2 linked regions of the Macaca mulatta genome follow. The protein of the gene in region 1 interacts with the protein of each later gene in a pairwise test. Links are inferred from orthologs where the notes say so. Each region holds a gene or a part of one and is shown on either strand. Other genes may lie near its edges.

Evidence for each region.
Region 2: the proteins of STX4 (region 1) and CYBRD1 interact in binary tests that used the Homo sapiens proteins (3 or more experiments, as listed by UniProt). The two-hybrid records come from large-scale screens. The link is inferred for Macaca mulatta from reciprocal best matches to the Homo sapiens genes STX4 and CYBRD1.

What each region holds. Positions count from the first base shown.
Region 1 is NC_133425.1:29,667,341-29,677,285, forward strand, and holds the start of STX4 (syntaxin-4), read left to right. Parts: upstream 1-4,498; 5' UTR 4,499-4,767; coding exon 4,768-4,797; intron 4,798-4,974; coding exon 4,975-5,076; intron 5,077-5,165; coding exon of another isoform or gene 5,166-5,187; coding exon 5,188-5,287; intron 5,288-5,423; coding exon 5,424-5,498; intron 5,499-5,934; coding exon 5,935-6,005; intron 6,006-8,862; coding exon 8,863-8,971; intron 8,972-9,050; coding exon 9,051-9,127; intron 9,128-9,446; coding exon 9,447-9,584; intron 9,585-9,945. Other genes in the region: uncharacterized protein LOC144337996, read right to left, coding at 4,108-4,227, 4,337-4,493. UniProt on the Homo sapiens protein: Plasma membrane t-SNARE that mediates docking of transport vesicles. Necessary for the translocation of SLC2A4 from intracellular vesicles to the plasma membrane.
Region 2 is NC_133417.1:76,458,301-76,468,008, forward strand, and holds the start of CYBRD1 (cytochrome b reductase 1), read left to right. Parts: upstream 1-3,531; 5' UTR 3,532-3,713; coding exon 3,714-3,906; intron 3,907-9,708. UniProt on the Homo sapiens protein: Plasma membrane reductase that uses cytoplasmic ascorbate as an electron donor to reduce extracellular Fe(3+) into Fe(2+).

The sequences.
Region 1 (9,945 bases):
AGGATCAATAACCTCTCCAGCAGTCGTCTCCAACCTAGCAGGTGTGGGAGAGGCCCTGTGACAGGGGCGGGAGAAGGCTTAGTGGGGCAGGCAGTCCACCCACTCCTCCTCCAAGACAGTCCAAAGCAATAGGTGGCAGCAAGCCCCCAAGGGTGGGTGGAACACGGGAAGCCACCCCAGCTGGTATTTTCCTTGGATCATAGTGTGGATGTTAAAAAAACACACCCCCCCTCCACCCAACAGCTGCACAGTCTGGAGCAAATATACACGCTCACCACACACACACACGCAAGACCATATATATATATATATATATATATATATTTTTTTTTTTTTTTTTTTTTGAGACGGAGTCTCACTCTGTCACCCAGGCTGGAGTGCAGTGGCACAATCTGCGCTCACTGCAAACTCTGCCTCCCGGGTTCATGCCATTCTCCTGCCTCAGCCTCCCGAGTAGCTGGGACTACACGTGCCCGGCACCACGCCGGCTAATTTTTGTATTTTTAGTAGAGACGGGGTTTCACTGTGTTAACCAGGATGGTCTCGATTTCCTGACCTTGTGATTCACCTGCCTTGGCCTCCCAAAGTGCTGGGATTACAGGCGTGAGCCACAGCACCCAGCCCAATATACTTTTTTAAACTTTATTTTTATTTCTATTTATTTATTTTTAATTAAAAAAAATCTAATTAGAGATGAGGTCTTAGGCCAGGCACAGTGGCTCATGCCTGTAATCCCAGCACTTCGGGAGGCTGAGGCAGGCAGATCACAAGGTGGGAGGATCACGAGGTCAGGAGTTCAAGACCAGCCTGGCCAATATGGTGAAACCCCATCTCTGCTAAAAATACAAAAATTAGCCAGGTGTGGTGGTGTGTACCTGTAATCCCAGCTACTCGGAAGGCTGAGTAAGAATTGTTTGAACTCAGGAGGCAAAGGCTGCAGTGAGCTGAGATCGTGCCACTGCAGTCCAGCCTGGGAGACAGAGCGAGACTATGTCTCAAAACAAACAACAACAACCACGACAAAAAAAAACCAGAGATGAGGTCTTGGCATGTTGCCCAGGCTGGTCTCAACTCCTGGGCTCAAAGGATTCTCCTGCCTTGGCCTCCCAAAGTGCTGGGATTACAGGCGTAAGCCACTGCACCCACCCTACTTTTTTTTTTTTTTTTTTTTTTTTGATACAGGATCTCACTCTGTCACCCAGGCTGGAATGCAGTGGCAAGATCACTGCTGACTGTACCCTTGACCTCATGGACTTAAGTGATCCTCCTGCCTCAGCCTCCTGAGTAGCTAGGACTACAGGAGAGCGCCAGTGCACCTGGGTAATTAAAAGAAGATTTTTTTGTAGAGACAGATGCTATGTTGCCCAGGCTGGTCTCGAACTCCTGGCCTCAAGTGATCTACCCACCTTGGCCTCCTAAAGTGCTAAGATCACAGGCATGAGCCACTGCACCCAGCCTAAGATAGTTAATATCCACTTCAAGGCTGCTCAGAGGGCCTGAGAGGAACAAAGGGCTCAGCTCTGGAGAGCTCCATCCCCAGCGCCAATCTCTCTAAATGGCCTCTTTCCTCTCCACATACCACCACAAGGGTTAGAGTCCAGCTTCCTGTGACCTTAAGTCACCATTCCAAAACCCTGCAATCTCATCCAGAGACCACAAATGAAATAATGAATATTATAATCCTGAGAAGTTTAGTGGATCAAGACGGCATGCCATCAAGATGCTGAGAAACAAAGAGGCAGATGGGACCGGGGGCCCAGAAGATGCTGGAACCCACAGTACTAAAAGCTCAGAGAGGCTGGGCACGGTGGCTCACACCTGTAATCCCAGCACTTTGGGAGGCCAAGGTGGGTGGATCGACTGAGCCCAGGGGTTTGAGACCAGCCTGGGCAACACGGCGAAACCCAGTCTCTACCAAAAAAATATACAAAAATTAGCCAGGCATGCTGGTGCATGCCTATAGTACCAGCTACTTGGGAGGCTGAGGCAGGAGGATTGACTGAATCTGACAGCACACCATTGCACTCCAGCCTGGGTGACAGAACCAGACTCAACCTCAAAAAAAAAAAAAAGAAAAAAGAAAAAAAGCCAGAGGGGAGGCTCGACAGTTTTCCAGCCCCTTCCACATCCTTCTTAACCTCACTAGATACTGTCCAAGTCCTACCTTAGGCAAGGCAGAAATTATAGGACCAAGCCGTCAAATGGGGAAATTGAGTCCCAGAGAGGAATAATGCATTATTTAAGATCCCATGCAGGACTATGAGTCAGGGGTCCAAGAGCCCTTCCACCTTGTGCCACTCAGAGACACAGAGTAGGAGGGGGAAGGGGGTCGGGTGGTAGGGGACAAAAGATGCGGGAGGCAAGCAGCAGTGACTGAAGAGGCAGAGGCTGCCATGGAAGACCCGGGAGCAGGGAATCTTTCCTCACCGTCTCCAGGGGAGGCTTCCTGAAAAACCCTGCATTCCCTCTGTGGGTTGATCAGGGAACCACTCTCCTACTAGCTGGGTTTTGTGTTTTGTTTTGTTTTGTTTTTTTGAGATGGAGTCTTACTCTGTCGCCTAGGCTGGAGTGCAATGGCGTGATCTCAGCTCACTGCAACCTCCGCCTCCCGGGTTCAAGCAATCCTCCTGTCTGAACCTCCCAAGTAGCTGAGATTACAGGCACCTGCCATCATGCCTGGCTAATTTTTGTACGTTTGTAGAGATGGGGTTTCGCCATGTTGGCCAGGCTGGTCTCCAACTCCTGGCCTCAGGTGATCTGCCTGCCTCTGCCTCCCAAAGTGCTGGGATTGCAGGCATAGGCCACCGCACCCTGCTAGAGCTGGGTTTTAACAGGAAGAGAAGAGCCAAAAATCCTCACATAGAATCAGACAGCACTTGACAGTTTCCAACCTCATCATCACTGAAGTTTAGAGCAGCCCATACCCATAAAGATGATCTCCCCATCCCCCCAAGTTACCCACTGTGCAGAGGGAGATCGACACTTAAGAGACAGGAAGCAACTTCCAGAAGTCCATAGCAACCCAGTCCCAGGAATCTAGGTTTCCTGACCAGGGCATAGCAGAAAGGGTCCATTCCTTTCCTTGCTTGTACCTTCACAGAAGCTTCCTGGACAGAGCCCTGGGGTCCAGGAGACCCGTTATTCATTCCCAGCTATGCTGAGACTTACTAAATGACCTTGGGGACTCCTTCTAGAGAATTTAAGTTCCACGAGTGCAGGAATTTTTATCTATTAGTCCTTGATGTATCTCCAGCCCTAGAACAGTGTTTGGCCCATAGTATGTGCCCAAAAATATCCATTAAATGAATGTTCTGTGCATGGTGGTGCATGCCTGTAATCCCAGCAGTTTGGGAGGCTGAGGCAGGAGGATTGCTTGAGCCCAGGAGTTAGAGACCAGCTTGGACAACATAGTGAGACCCCATCTTGTAAAAATTTTTAAAAATAAAAAATGAGTGAATATCTCGATAGCCAGGATTAGAGAAGTGTCACAGTCAGAAAGACTGAAGCCTAAAGAAGGCCAAGGAACCAGGGTCTTCATCCTCAGATACATGAAAGGCTAAGATTCTGTCCACAAGTATTTATAGAGGGCCCGTAATGTGCTTGGTACTGAGCTAGGAACTCCCCAGATTCAGTTAAGAACAAAGTCATTACCTGCCTCAGATGCAAGGCAGGGTCTGGGGGGTGTGAGTGGCAGGGAAGGCAGCGTGCAGAGACACTTTTCTTAGCCTGAGCTGCCCTGACATGGTCTGACAGCCCACAAGGTGGTGAGTGAAGCCGGGCTGTAGTGTTCAAGGAGGGCGCCGGCTGGCTGCCCACCTGTCAGAGGCTGCGCCAGGAGGATGCGGAAGAAGAGGTTTCTGCCTTGGCTGAGGTCAATTTCCACCCCTAGATTCCCTGCCCACACAACCCTGCAATTTTCTGACGCTGACGACTCGGATCCTATTATTTCCCGATTTTCAAGGTCCCATGATGCTGACAGCCCCAAATGCTAAGTCGTCAGTCCGCCCACGCCCCTGGACCCGAAAGCAATAAAGGCGAAGTCAGCAAGGGTCCTACCACCCACTGCCTCGAAAGGCCTCTGGGAGTGGTGGGCGCGCCCCTCCCCACCTCGCGGGGGCCGTGTGGGCGTCGTTCGGTGGTCGGAGTGCCGGGGACGTCGTGATGAAAACAGCGTCCCAGAGACGGCGCTGACCGAGCCGGGACACGTGACAGTCACAGCGTCACATTCTGCGGTCCACGAGTTTGGGACCGGGTTGGTCACGTGACGCGGTGGGGGCACCATGGGGTGATGTGAGATGCGGGTGCCTCAGATTACGTACAAATGACGTATTCCTACCCCTTTTGGCAACCAGATTTCCGTTGGAAGATGCAACGGTTCCGGTGACGGTAGCCAGTTCTCGCGTCCACGCAGCTCCGCTTCCGCTCGGGGCGCAACAACTTCCGACTCCACCTTCCGCGCCTCGGGCGAGGAAGAGACGCGACCATATGCGCATGCCCCGAATTTATCACGGAGGGGCGGGGCTGAGGCTGCGGGAGCTGGAGGGGGGAAGAAAAGGGAATTCCAACCTGTGGAACCTTGGGGGGTCCCCGGGGTCGGCGCCTTCCCATTGACTGTGGGCGGTGCAAGGGACGGAGGCTCTGGTGGCTCGTGGGGGTGTTGGGGTCCACAGGGGGAGGGAGGGGAGTGTCAGAGTGTGAGTGGGGTACGGGTATTCCAAGTTTGCCGGCCTCCCGGTCTGACGCCGGGGAGGGAGAGCTCAGGCCGCCATGCGGGACAGGACCCACGAGCTGAGGCAGGTGAGACGCCAGGGCAGCGGGGATGGGGGCGCGCGGACGAACTGGAACGCAGGACTCCTGGTCTTCGGGGTAGGGAGGGGTGGCTGATGGCCAGGAAGGAAAGTCCCGGAAGCCTGTGGGTCCTGCGGGGTGACAGCCGCAGCGAAACAGTGGTGCCAATGACTCCGGGCCTGGCAGGGGGATGACAGCTCGGACGAAGAGGACAAGGAGCGAGTCGCGCTGGTGGTGCACCCGGGCACGGCACGGCTGGGGAGCCCGGACGAGGAGTTCTTCCAGAAGGTAAGGGGATGGAGTCTTGGCCTGGATTCGCGAGGGGGTAGGAGGACCCGAGGAGCAGCGTGGTCTGGAGTACCCCATATCTCTTTCAGCCCTCTCGGTCACCCTCCCCAGGTCCGGACAATTCGGCAGACTATTGTCAAGCTGGGGAATAAAGTCCAGGAGTTGGAGAAACAGCAGGTCACCATCCTGGCCACGCCCCTTCCTGAGGAGAGTGAGTGAAACCCCGGCTGCATAGCGCATGCTCCGCCCCAGGGATTGTGGGGGTTGTAGTTCCACGCAGGTGGTGGCCAGGGTGGTTTGTTGAGGTGGGGGCTGCTGTTTGGGAGTCGTGGCCTTCTCTTATTCAGGCATGAAGCAGGAGCTGCAGAACCTGCGCGACGAGATCAAACAGCTGGGGAGGGAGATCCGCCTGCAGCTGAAGGGTGAGCTACTGGGACCTCAGGCAGATCCTTCCCTCTGATCCTGCCCTGTTGTTGGTATATCTGGGGAGTGTGTGGCCCAGAGAAGCCAGTGATATATCCAGGTCACACAGCAGGCCTGGTTCTAGCATCTCTGTCTTCTGGCCTCCAGGCCATTGTACTCTCCACAGCACAAGGCAGTCTCTCAGGTTCTTTTATTTACAATGAAACCATTTACTTACACAGTTATCACTGCCCACTGGGCATTCTTTGGGCAGGGAGATGGGGTTTTGTTAGGTGGCCTCTGCATTCCTACGGGAACTCAAGTGATGTAATGCAAAGAAAAATAAACTTACTTTCTCCTCTTGGAGGCTCAGCCTTAGTCATTTTATGATAAATTATATTTCCCTAAAAATCCTATGGAGACAAGTACCCCCAATACCCCTGTGTCTTCCCACAGCCATAGAGCCCCAGAAGGAGGAAGCTGATGAGAACTATAACTCCATCAACACAAGAATGAGAAAAACCCAGGTGGGTTTTTTTTCTCAGAAATGACATTTCAGCAAATGTTTCATGAAGTATTAGATGACAGATGTATGAAGGAAGGGCCTGTAGATGTCATGGAGTCCAATTGGATGATTTTTCCAAGTGGGGAACCTGAGCTCAGAGAGAGAAAGAACTTGCTCAAGGTCAGGAAACCAGGTCTCCTGATGCTCAGTCCGGTTATAACACCCTGCTTTATTTTCTTCCATTCAATAAGAAGTTACTTATTGACCCCAGACAAGACCTAGGCTTGACTGTGGGACACGTTTTCTTTTCTTTTTGCCTCAGCCTCCTGAATAGCTGGGATTACAGGCGGACACCACCATGCCGAGTTAATTTTTGTATTTTTAGTAGAGACGGGGTTTCCCCATGTTGGCCAGGCTGGTCTCGAACTCCTGACCTCAGGTGACCCTCCTGCCTTGGCCTCCCAAAGTGCTGGAATTACAGGCGTGAGCCACTGCGCCCAGCTGGGACACGTGTTTTCTAGGAGTCAACATGAGGAGTTAGGGTTCAATAGGGGATAAAGACATTACTCACGTGGGATCTGGTGGCTAATGGCGCTGCCCAGGGAAGGAGAGTGAGAAGTCACAAATTGACTGGCAGGTTTGCTATCTGTGTGACAGGGACATCCTTAGTCCCACAGGTGGAATTCAAGAAGTCAGGAAGTGGAACTTCCCTGGGGCGACACTGAAGAGGAACTCCCCTGGTGTAATATCTTTTTTTTAAAAATTATTATTATTTTTTTGAGATGGAGTCTCTCTCTGTCGCCCAGGCTGGAGTACAGTGGCACAGTCTTGGCTGACTGCAACCTCCACCTCCTTCAAGCGATAATCCTCCCTCAGCCTCACAAGTAGCTGGGATTACAGGTGTACACCACCACACCTGGCTAGTTTTTTATATTTTTGGTAGAAATGAGGTTTCACCATGTTGGCCAGGCTGGTCTTGAACTCCTGACCTCAAGTCCTCAAGTGATCCACCTGCTTTGGCCTCCCAAAGTGCTATGATTACAGGCATGAGCCACCGTGCACGGCCCCTGGGGTGATATCTTAGTAAGGAGATTTGCAGTGATCTGACTGGCCCTCTTTGTGTCCCCAGTGAGGAGGATACCAAGAGGTCAGGGTTGGAGTAGTTGAGCCCAGGGCTCAGCAAAGACCCCAGATTGAAGATGAAACAGCTTGGGCATCTTGGAAGGGTGCAGCTGGAACCAGGAGAGCAGATGTATCTCTGGAAAAGGAACTCCAAGGAATGAGCATATTTAAGGTCTCAGGAGAAGGGGCAAGGCAGAGCAGATGCCCCAGAGCCAGTGTTTCTGGGGAAGCCTCTGGTGGTGATTGGCATGAGTGGTCGAGGGCCCATGTGGGCCTGTTGCACCTGTTTCGCCCAGGCAGCATGTTCATCTCTAGGCATAGGAACTGTGGTGTAGGCAGCAAGGTTGGCATTCAGCAAGCATTCAGCAGTTACATATTGGGTGCCTACTGTGTGCCAGACCTTTTTGGAACTGTTTAGGGTACAGCAGTGAATCAATGATCCCTATCCTCATGGAACTTCCCTTCTGGTGTAGACAATCACCATAATAAATAAGTGAATTATTTAGAACATAATAAGCATTAAGGAAAAAAGAGCAGCGGAAGAGGGACTGAGCATGCTGGAGGAGGGTAGCGTTGCAGTTGAAAGCAAGTGGAGGAAGCTTCATTCAGAAGGTGACATCTGAACAAAAGACTTAAAGGTGTTTGCGGGGAATGGGCATTCTAGGTAGAATGAGAAGTGAATGCAAAGGTTTAAGCTGAGAGTGTGCTTTGTCTAGGGAGGGCTGTAAGGAGACCAATGTGGATGGGCAGAGGGAGGGAACAGTAAGAGGAAGCAAGATCAGAGAGGGCTGGCCGTGCACCTTGGCTCACACCTGTGATCCCAGCACTTTGGAGGCTGAGGTGGGAGGATTGGTTGAGCCCAGGCGTTTGAGACCAGCCTGGGCAACATTGCGAGACCCCATCTCTCTCTGTTTTTTTTTTTTTGAGACAAGGTCTCACTCTGTCACCCAGGCTGGAGTGCAGTGGTGCCATCTCTGCTCACTGCAGCCTCCGCCTCCTGAGTTCAAGCCATTCTCCTGCTTCAGCCTCCCAAGTAGCTGGGACTACAGGCACCCACCACTGCACCCAGTTAATTTTTGTATTTTTAGTAGAGATGGGGTTTCACCATGTTGGCCAGGCTGGTCTTGAACTCCGACCTCAGGTGATCTGCCTACCTCAGCCTCCCAAAGTGCTGAGATTACAAGCATGAGCCACCGTGCGGGTCAACCCTGTCTCTATTAAAAATAAAAATAGGCCAGGTGCAGTGGCTCACACTTGTAATCCCAGCACTTTGGGAGGCTGAGGTGGGTGGATCACCTGAGGTCAAGAGATTGAGACCATCCTGGCCAACATGGTGAAACCCCATCTCTACTAAAAATATAAAAATTAACCATGCATGGTGATGTTCATCTGTAGTCCCAGCTACTTGGGAGGCTGAGGCAAGAGAATCGCTTGAACCCAGGAGGCCAAGGTTGTGGTGAACCAAGATTGCGCCACTGCACTCCAGCCTGGGCAATAAGAACGAAACTCTGTCTCAAAAAATAAATAATAAATAAATAAAAATAAAAAAGATCATGGAGGGCCACATAGACTTGCTAAGGGCTTTGGCTTTTTGTCTAAGAGAAATGGGGGAGCCTGTCAAGGTCATCACAAAGTGGTTAAGGTGGCAGACCCCGCATAAGAGCTCATGCTATTTGCTCACTTTACTATGGGATTGCCGAGGCCCAGACCGGGCAAGGATCCTCCCGGGGCACCCAGCCTATATTCTTCATCTTTAGCATGGGGTCCTGTCCCAGCAATTCGTGGAGCTCATCAACAAGTGCAATTCAATGCAGTCCGAATACCGGGAGAAGAACGTGGAGCGGATCCGGAGGCAGCTGAAGATCAGTGAGTTGTGTGTGCCCAGCCTGGCCTGCAGGGGCAGGTAATCCCAACCCAGCCCTGAGCCTGGCCTTTTCCTTCACAGCCAATGCTGGGATGGTATCTGACGAGGAGCTGGAGCAGATGCTGGATAGTGGGCAGAGCGAGGTGTTTGTGTCCAATGTGAGTGGCCACAGCCAGCCCCTCTCTGCTGTGCCTCCCATCTCCTCTGATTCCTATCCCGTTCTTGACCTTCTGGGCTCAGGTGATCCTCCTGTCTCAGCCTCCCGAGTAGCTGGGACTATAGGTGTGAGCCACTGGACTCCGCTTGCTATGTCCCTTTCTGATTGAGGGGACCCTGAGGCCCCTAAGGGAATTAATTAGCTAACCTGGAGTCACCCATCAGATTCCAGGCTGAGGGCTACCCAGAAGTTCAACAGGAGCTTCTGACCTGCTGTCGGTCTCCCTGTGAACAGTTGCCCCACTCCTGTCCACCCCCTAGATCCTGAAGGACACACAGGTGACTCGACAGGCCTTAAATGAGATCTCGGCCCGGCACAGTGAGATCCAGCAGCTTGAACGCAGTATTCGTGAGCTGCACGATATCTTCACTTTTCTGGCTTCTGAAGTGGAGATGCAGGTGAGTGCCCCGCGCAGCCCCAGACGTGATACCAGGCTCAGTCCAAACTGCCAGCCTCCTGCCACCCTTAGATTCTCTCCCTGAGGCTTTTGTGTCTTCCAGGTTTGGCCATCCCCCCAAATTGGTGCTTATTCTTATCTTTAGCTGTACCCCGAGAATGGCGCCTGCCTCTGCTGCTACCCAGATACCCACTCCCTTCTGCATAGCACCCTGCCCTCTCTCCAAAACTTGAGCCTGCCCAGGTCTGGCCCCAGCCCTGGCTCCCCCTCCACTAACAGCATCCACCCTGATACCTCTCAGAGGTTCAGTCAGAGTTGCCTTAGAGGGGCTGCCTCCTAACATCTGTACAAGGCTGGGGTGG
Region 2 (9,708 bases), on another chromosome or scaffold:
CGTCTCAGCCTCCCAAAGTGCTGGGATTACAGGCTTGAGCCACTGCGCCCGGCCAGATTCTTAAAAGATAATTTAAAAGTTGAAATTCTCTCAGTTTTACATATAACTTCAAGATGATTCAATACCATTGGTACCATTTGGCCATGTTTTCATCCTCCTGAAATGTTTTGTTAAATGGGGTCTGGAATCCCAGAGATTCTCATCTGCTGCTGCTATGAAGCAAAATTAACTCAAGAGTGGAGTGAAGGTGTTAGGAGTAATATTTCAAGGGGGTGAAAACATTAATTGGGGAAAAAGACTAGATACTTTTAGGGAGAGGGATAGAGATACAGTGATGTCGTTATAGAATTATAAGCTAAAGTTCACAAACGAAAAGAATCAATGTTAGGTGAAACACGGAATGTTTGCAGCACTCAGGAACCACCACCAAAAAAAAAAGGTCTGAAAAAATAAAAGTGGAAGATTCAGGGATAGTTTCCATGTATTCCTAGGGATCTCACTCTTCTCTCCTCTGCTCTGTGCCCTAAATTGACCTGGGATGGATTACATGAACTGCCCTGTGGCATCTGATTAGGTTCTGGTTAGCCCCTGGGAGACCCTGGGCAGAAGATCAGAGGGGAGAAGAGTAAGGCTGGAATATTTATCTGCTTCCATCTTTCTCCCTATGGGGTCTCTGCAGGCTGGCTGCATCCCTGTACTCAAGGCCTCTATCGGACTTCCCCCTCCACACAATTTTCTCTCTGGACTCCAGTAATTCTCTACCCTTCAGACTTGGGGCACTGCCTAACTCTGAGGATTGCCACACACTGCCCACAACTTCATAAACAGTCTTGTTCATTATTAAATTACTCAATTCCAATATGCTGTGTGTTTTCTGCCAGGACCCTGATTAACACACTCAGTCTTATTAGCCTCCCAACACATGTTTATTGAGTAACCACCACGTCAAGGAGGAATAAAATGACTAATTGGAGAATCAATGCCTTCAATAGGGCAGTCTGAGAGTGGAGACAGCCAGAGGCAGATCATTATATTATATCCTGACAGGTGACACAAGGAGGCACTGGATGGGGAGGTCAGTGGGATATAAAAGTCTGGGCAGGGGCAGACTCAGGGAAGGTTTCTCAGTGGAGATGGGGTCAGGGAAATTTAGAGGCAGGGGCGTGGGTAGGAAGTGGTCAGAAGCTGCCAGAGCAGTTTACAGCCAAGGACATCAGAGCCAGTCAGGTTATGGTAAGAGACTAGAGGGGAGGGCTAAGCTGGACCAGATCAAAGCCTTGTGCTGGGGAAAGGTGTCCTTCTCTTCCATTTGCTTACTCTCCCCACCAAGGGAAAAATAATGACACAGGTGAGGTCTACAGCCTCTTACTCTGAGCCCTTAATCCTGCCCTACTACCATGGCCTGCCACTCCTATTTCTTTAGTCTGCTTTGAAAATCACCTCCATATACTTCCTGCACATTCTAAGGTCTTTCAAGACAGCAACAAGACAATACAGCAAACTAGTCCTTGGAGATGAGCTACAGAAGAGGGCTAGAAGTGAACGTTCCCAAATGCATTCTGGAGGCCCTGGCGGTCAGAACCCTTTTTCTTTGATAGCATTAGATAATGCTGATACTATTTTTGTCCAGTGGAGAAGGGTGAGGATAATGTTGGAAATAGGGCAGGGAGCGAGCTTCACTTCATCAACAGGGGCTTTGGTTCAAATCGGTTTGGGTGGCCTGGCACTTTGAAAATCCATTTATCACACTAAATGGCAAGTCCAGGTCCAGGAGGTTCCTGTCTTCCCTCTCTCAACAGCAAACTGCAAATAGTTTCATTGCAGGATAAGGCCAAGCCCACTGCTGCCCATGCTGTTTTTGTTTTGTTTCGAGACAAAGTCTAGCTGTCACCAGGCTGCAGTGCAGTGGTGCGATCATAGCTCTCCTGAGCTCAAGTGATTCTCTTGCCCCCACCTCCCAAAGCCCTGGGATTACAGCCGTGAGACACTTCATGCGGACCCCGGTTTACTGGTTTTTGTTTGTTTTTTGAGACAGAGTCTCACTTTGTCATTCAAGCTGAAGGCAGTCGTGCAATCTCAGCTCACTGCAGCCTCGACCTTCTGGGCTCAAATGATCCTCCTTCCTCAGTCCCCAAGTAGCTGGGGCTACAGGTGCACACATTTGTATTTTTAGTAGAGACAGGGTTTCACCTTGTTGCCCAGGCTGGTCTCAAACTCCTGGATTGAAGTGATCTGCCCGCCTCAGCCTCCCAAAGTGCTAAGATTACAGGTGTGAGCGACTGCGCTCGGCCTTTACTGTTAACTTAAAACAAAAAATTATAAATTTGAAAAAGGAGGAGACTTTCTTTTAAAAGGTTATAGCCTGCAAGGTGGCCATTCCATAGGCTGATAAACACAGCCTCTGGCCTAAGACCAGAGACAGGCACTTGGAAGGCAGAGGGGTTGGGGTAGAAGCTTTATGCTGAACAGTTTGGCCAAACATACATACTTAACAGGTTACAGGAGGAACTATGAATATTGATGGAGGTGGTCCTTACACATGCATATTGAACAAACATGCATGTAACATGTTCTCTTTGGGGTGGAGACTTAACATTTAAATGTATTACTTCAAACCTATACTTCAAAAGGTCTTTTTAGGCCGTGAATGCATACAAGTGCAAATCCTGTAAACTGGCCAGAACTAGTCCATGGTCGGTGGTCTTCCTATCAGGAAAAAGTTCCTGAAATCAGTTTCTTGTCCAATGAAAGCTGTAGTTCTGGCTTGTGGAACAGGGGTTCAGTTGGTCAGCGTCTGTGAGCTGATTAAGTTGTAATAGTTTTAACATCGCTTATCTCAAACCAGTGCCTCTAGAGAAAAAGAAAACCTTTGTGGCAGTTAGACCATAGTTTATTCCTTAACTGTAGGAGTGTGTGACTTAGGTCCTTTTTATAATTTGATGTCCTATTGCTACAAAGAGTCTGTTCCGTCCGCCTTATGATTTCTCTTTTAAACATTAATGCTAGTCAGTTGTTGAGTCTAAATTCCAAAAGGGAGGGGGTAGACTTCCTGATTTCCCTTCTGGCTGTAGCTAGAAACTCAGCTTTAAGGTTTTCTGGGGTCTGCTTGGCCAAGGGGGTCCATTCAGTCAGTGAGGGGCTTAGGATTTTACTTTTAGTTTACACCACCCTACGGGTTCCTCCTTAACACCCTTTGATGTCAGAGACAGCAATTCTCCAGCACTGCGGCTAAGGAGGCTTCTTTAGAGTTAAAAGCACACACATAACCTTACCCAACGGATCCCTCTCTTCTCTTAATCAAGAGGGCGCACCACTGCCCTACTCAGCCTCCCCACAAATAAGGACGAGATACGGGAAGGGTTAAAAGCAAGTGGTGGGTATAAAATCCTTGGAATTCTCTCTTTGAGCAACTAACTAGGGCTGTTACTGAAGCCCTCTGCGAGCTTGGATGCTGGGCGAGAGTGAGGCCACCAGGCAGTGAGCGCCCTCGGCGGCCCCGTGATCCCGGGGGTGGGGCCCGTTTCTGAGTTGGGGCTAGCTCCCCACCCCCAAGGGCCCCACATTCCGGGCCAGCAGCCCAGAAAGTCCCTCCCCGCAGGCGGAGACAGCCCCAAGAAGTCGACGCCCCGGTCCCGCCGCCCGGCCACTACCCAAAGGCTGCCGCCGCCTCTCCAAGTTACTGTGGACCCCGCGGTGCGGAGTATGGGGCGCTGATGGCCATGGAGGGCTACTGGCGCTTCCTGGCGCTGCTGGGGTCGGCACTGCTCGTCGGCTTCCTGTCGGTGATCTTCACCCTCGTCTGGGTCCTCCACTACCGAGAGGGGCTTGGCTGGGACGGGAGCGCACTCGAGTTTAACTGGCACCCGGTGCTCGTGGTCACCGGCTTCGTCTTCATCCAGGGCATCGGTACTGGCACCTCCTGGGGGGTGCGGGGAGGAAAGCGGGGAAAGCGACTGGGGGCAGAGGGTCCTCCGTGAAGCGCCTCCCAGCTGAGGAAATATTGGAGTATCGCGGGGCCCAGAGAAATGCGGTGAGGAGTGCGCGGGAAGCCAATTTGGCGGGGTGGGAAGGCGGCGCGAGAGGGAGGCTGGCCGGCTCTGGGGGCGAGACGCAGCTGCGGTTCGGGCGGATAGCAGCGAGCGCGGGGCTGGGGGTGCGCGGTGGAGACGCGCTGCTGGGGGCCCGCCCCACTTGGTTAACTCTTTGCGGCGAGTGGCTGGGACGCATTGGAGGCGCCTCCAAGACCCAGAAACTTGAACCAGGGAGCGATACCGGAGCGCCGCGCAGTCGGGCCGCTGCAGCCCACTCGCCCCGGAAAGTCGCCTCTGTGTACCGAGCCTGCGCAGTCGGGGGCGCGGAAACACTTTCGCCCCAGCCTGTTGCTGAACTTGCTTCCAGCCTGCAGACGAGGAGGGCAAGGCCCCAGGGAAAGATGGCCGGGGCGAGAATTTGCCCCTATTTGTAACATCCTCGGCCCTGGGTGAAGGGGCCGGCCAAGGGGGGCGAGTGAAGCATCCGCCCTAGGTTCCTCTCCTCCTAGAGCGTTAAGCTCAGTCGAGACCTGGAAGCTGCCAGGACTCCAAAGAATGTTTCGCCGCCCTGCCCAGTCATTGGACAGTCTTGAGCCCGACTGGTTTATGTGGCAGCCGAGGGCGAAAGTTCCCCCGCCGGGCTTCCTATTGGGCACTGGCCCAGCACTCCGGGTGGGAGATGCCTGGAGAGGGCCCGCGGCTGCCTTGCACCGAGGGATGCCTGTGCTCCGGCTGCCAGCGGCGCGAGCTGCGTCCGTCTTTGGCCCGCGGCGAGCCAGCCCAGGGCCTGCATTCTCTGGGCTGAGGCTGGCGTGGGGGTGGGGCTCGGCAGTCGCTGGCAGTGTTTGTTGTCGTTGTGTAGTGCCTCTCACAATGTCCTGACAGCTTCCTTCGGTTTGCCGTGTAGCTGGAGGAACCTCTAGCTTGTGGCGCAAACAGCTTATTTGTAACCACTTCCCAAAAGGCATGGCCTTGAGAAAGTAGTTAGAGAAAGGCAGCAAGGGGTGGACTGGGGTTATGTCGCAGAAGATAATCGAGAGTAGTAGCAAGGGTTTGGAAAGATATGCCCACTGGCCGAAATCCCTAGCTTTGCCTCCGGGCAGGCTGCCTTTTCTTCACCAAATATTCAACTCCCCACAAACGAGTGTGCAACATAGTGCTGACCTCATTCCTAAAGAAAAGTGATTTTGGTTTTTGTTTTTGTTGGTTGTTTTAAACTTGTACTGCAGCTTTCGCAAGTGTGGCCAGCATTCTCCCACTCTGGAATGTAGTGGAAGGTGTTACTAACCCTCAGCATTCAAAGGGTTCCCTGATGTGAGATCGGCATCAGGGTGTGAGCACCACTGGGCACCTAAGGCATTTCGTTGCGTAACTCTCAGTTATTTTGCCACTACGCTTATAAGAGAAAAACATACTCAAGTTCCAAAGTAACTGTCAGAAGCACTCTTTCCTTCATGGTTGGAACCCTTAAGTTTGGCCCAGAGCTGTCTACAGCTTGTTTGCTCAAAGAGTAGAACCAGTCTCCTCTTCTACCCAACTCTTCAGAGCAGCTTCTAATACCAAAGAACTTTCTGGAGGTCTTGGAATATCTTCTCATAATTGAGGTTAAGGGAACAAGTGTTATTACTCGTTGCCTGACTTGCCACAGAGGAGAAGCCGTCAGAATGGCTAACAGTGATTGCATGCTGTTTGTCCACTAAGTGCATTATGTCACATGTATGTAAGAGTAAACTGAGACAGAGAAGAGTTATGTAACTTACCCATGAAAGCTGTTTTAAGGCTTTTCAGTGACCTTATCGTCAAAGTTTGATTCTCTGCTTTTATGGCAATATGCTTATTTTCTGCCAAATCTTTTTAGACAGCTAAAACCTTCATGTAAAATATGTTTTGAAACTCTTCATTCATGTTAGAGTCCAATATACAGTTTTCCTAAAAGGTTTTTTAATTTCTCTAAACTTTGTACTTCTCTTAATCTGTTCATATTTACTCTTGGACAAAAATGTGTAAATTTTGGCAATTTTCATCTGCTGCTCTTATGAAAATCTTGTTTCTTTTTTTCTTTCTTTTTTTTTTTTTTCTTTTGAGACGGAGTCTTGCTCTGTCGCCCAGGCTGGAGTGCAGTGGTGCGATCTTGGCTCACTGCTACCTCTGCCTCCCAGGTTCAAGCAATTCTCCTGCCCCAGTCTCCCGAGTAGCTGGGATTACAGGTGCGTACCACCATGCCCAGCTAATTTTTATATTTTTAGTAGAGACAGTGTTTCACCATGTTGGCCAGGCTGGTCTCGAATTCCTGACCTCGAGTGATCCACCTGCCTTGGCCCCCCAAACTGCTGAGATTACAGATGTGAGCCACCGCACCCAGCCGATCTTGTTTTCTTTGGGTTCAGTTACTGTATTTGTATCAGTGGTCCAGAGTTTGTCCCGTCATTACTCATCGTGTTTCCTGTTTGGAGCCTGGATGTGCAAATCACTTTAATCATATAATGCATTTAATTGACATGAGCATAAATGTTTTCATAAATATAGGCACATGCATAGTTCTCCCCAGTTCTTCCATATCTTGGCCCACCCACCCACATTCCTCACCCTAAGTATTAGGAAGGCTCCAGTGGAAGGAGGGGGAGTAATAAATAAACTTTATAGGCCGTGAGGGACCCACACGTTACAGACTTGCCATGTTATAGCAGACTTTTTTACTGTGTGTGATTGCTGCAAGGAGGAAAATTTTAGGCTATGAGATTTCAGATCTCTAACAAAGAACACGATGTAATGGAGTTCTTCTCTTCTGTAATACACAAATATTTGGAGATGAGGAAAGGAAGGCTAAAGTACAGTTATTACTCTAAGTATAAGATGTTTTAGAAATGCAATATACAAATAGTAAACAATATTTGAAATTAAGAACAGGTATGAGTCCTTTGAAACACCTTTAAGAAGTAAGCTCTGGGCCGGCGCAGTTCAGCTACTTGTGAGGCTGAGGCAGGAGAATCACTTGAACTCGGGAGGCGGAGGTTGCGATAAGCGGATATCTCACCATTGCACTCCAGCCTGGGCAACAAGAGCGAAACTCCCATCTCAAAAAAAAAAAAAAAAAAAAAAAGCTCTGGCCGGGCATGGTGGCTCACGCCTGTAATCTCAGCACTTTGGGAGGCCGAGGTGAGTGGATCACCTGAGGTCAGGAGTTCGAGACCAGCCTGGCCAACATAGTGAAACACTGTCTCTACTAAAAATACAAAAATTAGCTGGGTGTGGCGGCACGTGCCTGTAATCCCAGCTACTCGGGAGTCTGAGGCAGGAGAATTGCTTGAACCTGGGAGGCGGAGGTTGCAGTGAGCCAAGATTGTGCCATTGCACTCTAGCCTGGGCAATAGAGTAAGACTCTGTCTCAAAAAAAAAAAAAAAAAAAAAAAAAAAAAAAAAAAAGAGAAAAGAAAAAGCTCCAAAGAAGCAAAGTTAACATAGAATTTACAAAACAAATATCCCTCTCCTCCTTTATTCCCCTTTCCCTTTCTCGCTAACCCTCCCTCTCCTTTTCCCATTTTATCCTCCGTGTCCCTCTCTCGCTCTCCCTTCCTTTCCCCTTCTCTCTCCCCAACTCCCACACTCCAAGTATATTTTGGAAAATGTATATATTCTATATTCAAGTATAGCAGATCATGGGAAATCTAAAACTAAAATAAAATTTTAAACTAGTGGGAAATCTAGCTAACAGACTGACATGAATGAGGAAGAGTTTAGAAGAGGCTTTGTGCTTCTCTGAAAGAAATGTTTCCCATGAAATAAGTATACTACTAGGAAATCAGAGAAATGAACCTTGAAAAGGAGGCCACAGAAAAGACTGAAACAAATAAACGCTCTCAAAGTGGCTGTTGACCTTTTAAAGGTTCAGCAAGGTGGAATGTGTTCTTTAGTGAAAGGTAGAAAATTCAGCTATCTAAGTTTAGTGAAAAGAAGCCTTGGCAATTCTATACTCCTTCCTTTCCTGTGTAGAACTCGTTTTATTGTATAAACTGAAGGAAGAGAAATTAAATAGTTTAATGATCTCAAGTTGATTTTGTGAGAGAATATAACTACCTTTAAGTAACATTTAAAAGACTAACAGAAATTAAGAGCAGTTCTTAAAAAGCAGTTGGGATATCCTATTAATTTATCTAAAAGTGACCAAATTCCATGATTACTTAAATAGACTTGAAAAGCTCTTGGGGTAAAATCCAGCAAATAAGAAAATGGAGAAAGTGCCCTAAATACCTACTCTAAAATAAGCTTCAGGGACACCATTGATAATAAAACCTGTCAATCTTAGCGATACAAGGGTTTTTACAAAGCATAAAGAGATGATTTAAAGAAATTTTGTGAAGAAAACCACAAAAAATATCCCCAACATATTTTTTGTTGTAAACAAATACACATAGATTTTAAAATAATGCAACCAATAAAAATGTTTTAGATATGACTGTGGTGCTCAGTTCTATATCCCCAGCACCTAGAATAACACTGGGAACTGGCACATGGTAGATGAGTAAGTAGTTGTTGAATGAATGATTATTTCTGTACCATCATTGAATTGTTAGTAACAAAATGCAATTTACAGCCACTTATTTGTGACTATAATAATAGTGTCTAAAGTAAATACACGCTTGTCTTTCCCTAGCGATTCTCCTGTTCAGCCAGTTTAAAAGCACTGGCTTATCAACCTCCAGGAAGAATGGACATCTATTGCACTGCAAATGCATCTTTATTCTAAGGCCTCTAGCTGATGAGACTGTTGCTGCTTAAGTACAGTCTGTGCCTCCTTTTCCCTTCATCCCAGTTTTCTCTCCTTTTTCTGCATCAAGTTTCCCCCCTAACTGGCTTATTTCCAACATAGTATAATTTCTATCATCTTCGAAAACAAAACAAAATCACTCTTGACCCTGTATGTCCCTCAGCTACTGCCTCAATTCTCTGCTTGCCTTACCACAGAACTTTTTGAAATTTTTGTCCATACCTGCAGTTTCTAGTTCCTTTCTTCCTATTCTTTCTTGAGCCCTCTCCAATTAGGTTTTCACCTCCTGCTCCACCAAAATTGTGCTTAACATGGTAGCTAATGATCTCCATGTTGCTAATTCCACTGGTCAATTCTCAGTCCTCATAGTGTTTGAGTGGAAGGCAGCATTTGACATAATTGACCCCTCACTCCTTGGGACACTGTCTTTTTTTCTTTTTTCTTTTTCTTTTTTTTTTTTTTTGAGACGGAGTTTCACTCTTGTTGCCCAGGCTGGAGTACAATGGTGCAATTTGGGCTCACTGCAAGCTCCACCTCCCGGGTTCAAGTGATTCTCCTGCTTCAGCCTCCTGAGTAGCTGGGATTACAGGCATGCGCCACCACGCCCAGCTAATTTTGTATTTTTAGTAGAGACAGGGTTTCTCCATGTTGGTTAGGCTGGTCTTGAACTCCCGACTTAAGGTGATCCACCCGCCTCAGCCTCCCAAAGTGCCCGGATTACAAGTGTGAGCCACCGCACCCAGCCAGGACACTTTCTTTACTTGGCTTCTCTTCACCTGGTAAGTTGGGTGGCTTCCAGGACACCTGATTCTCGTGACTCTTCTCTCTTTCCTGGCTGCCTCATCCTCAGTCTCCTTTGCTGGTTCTTCCTCATCTTCCTGATGACTTCAGGTTAGAGTATCCCATGGCTCA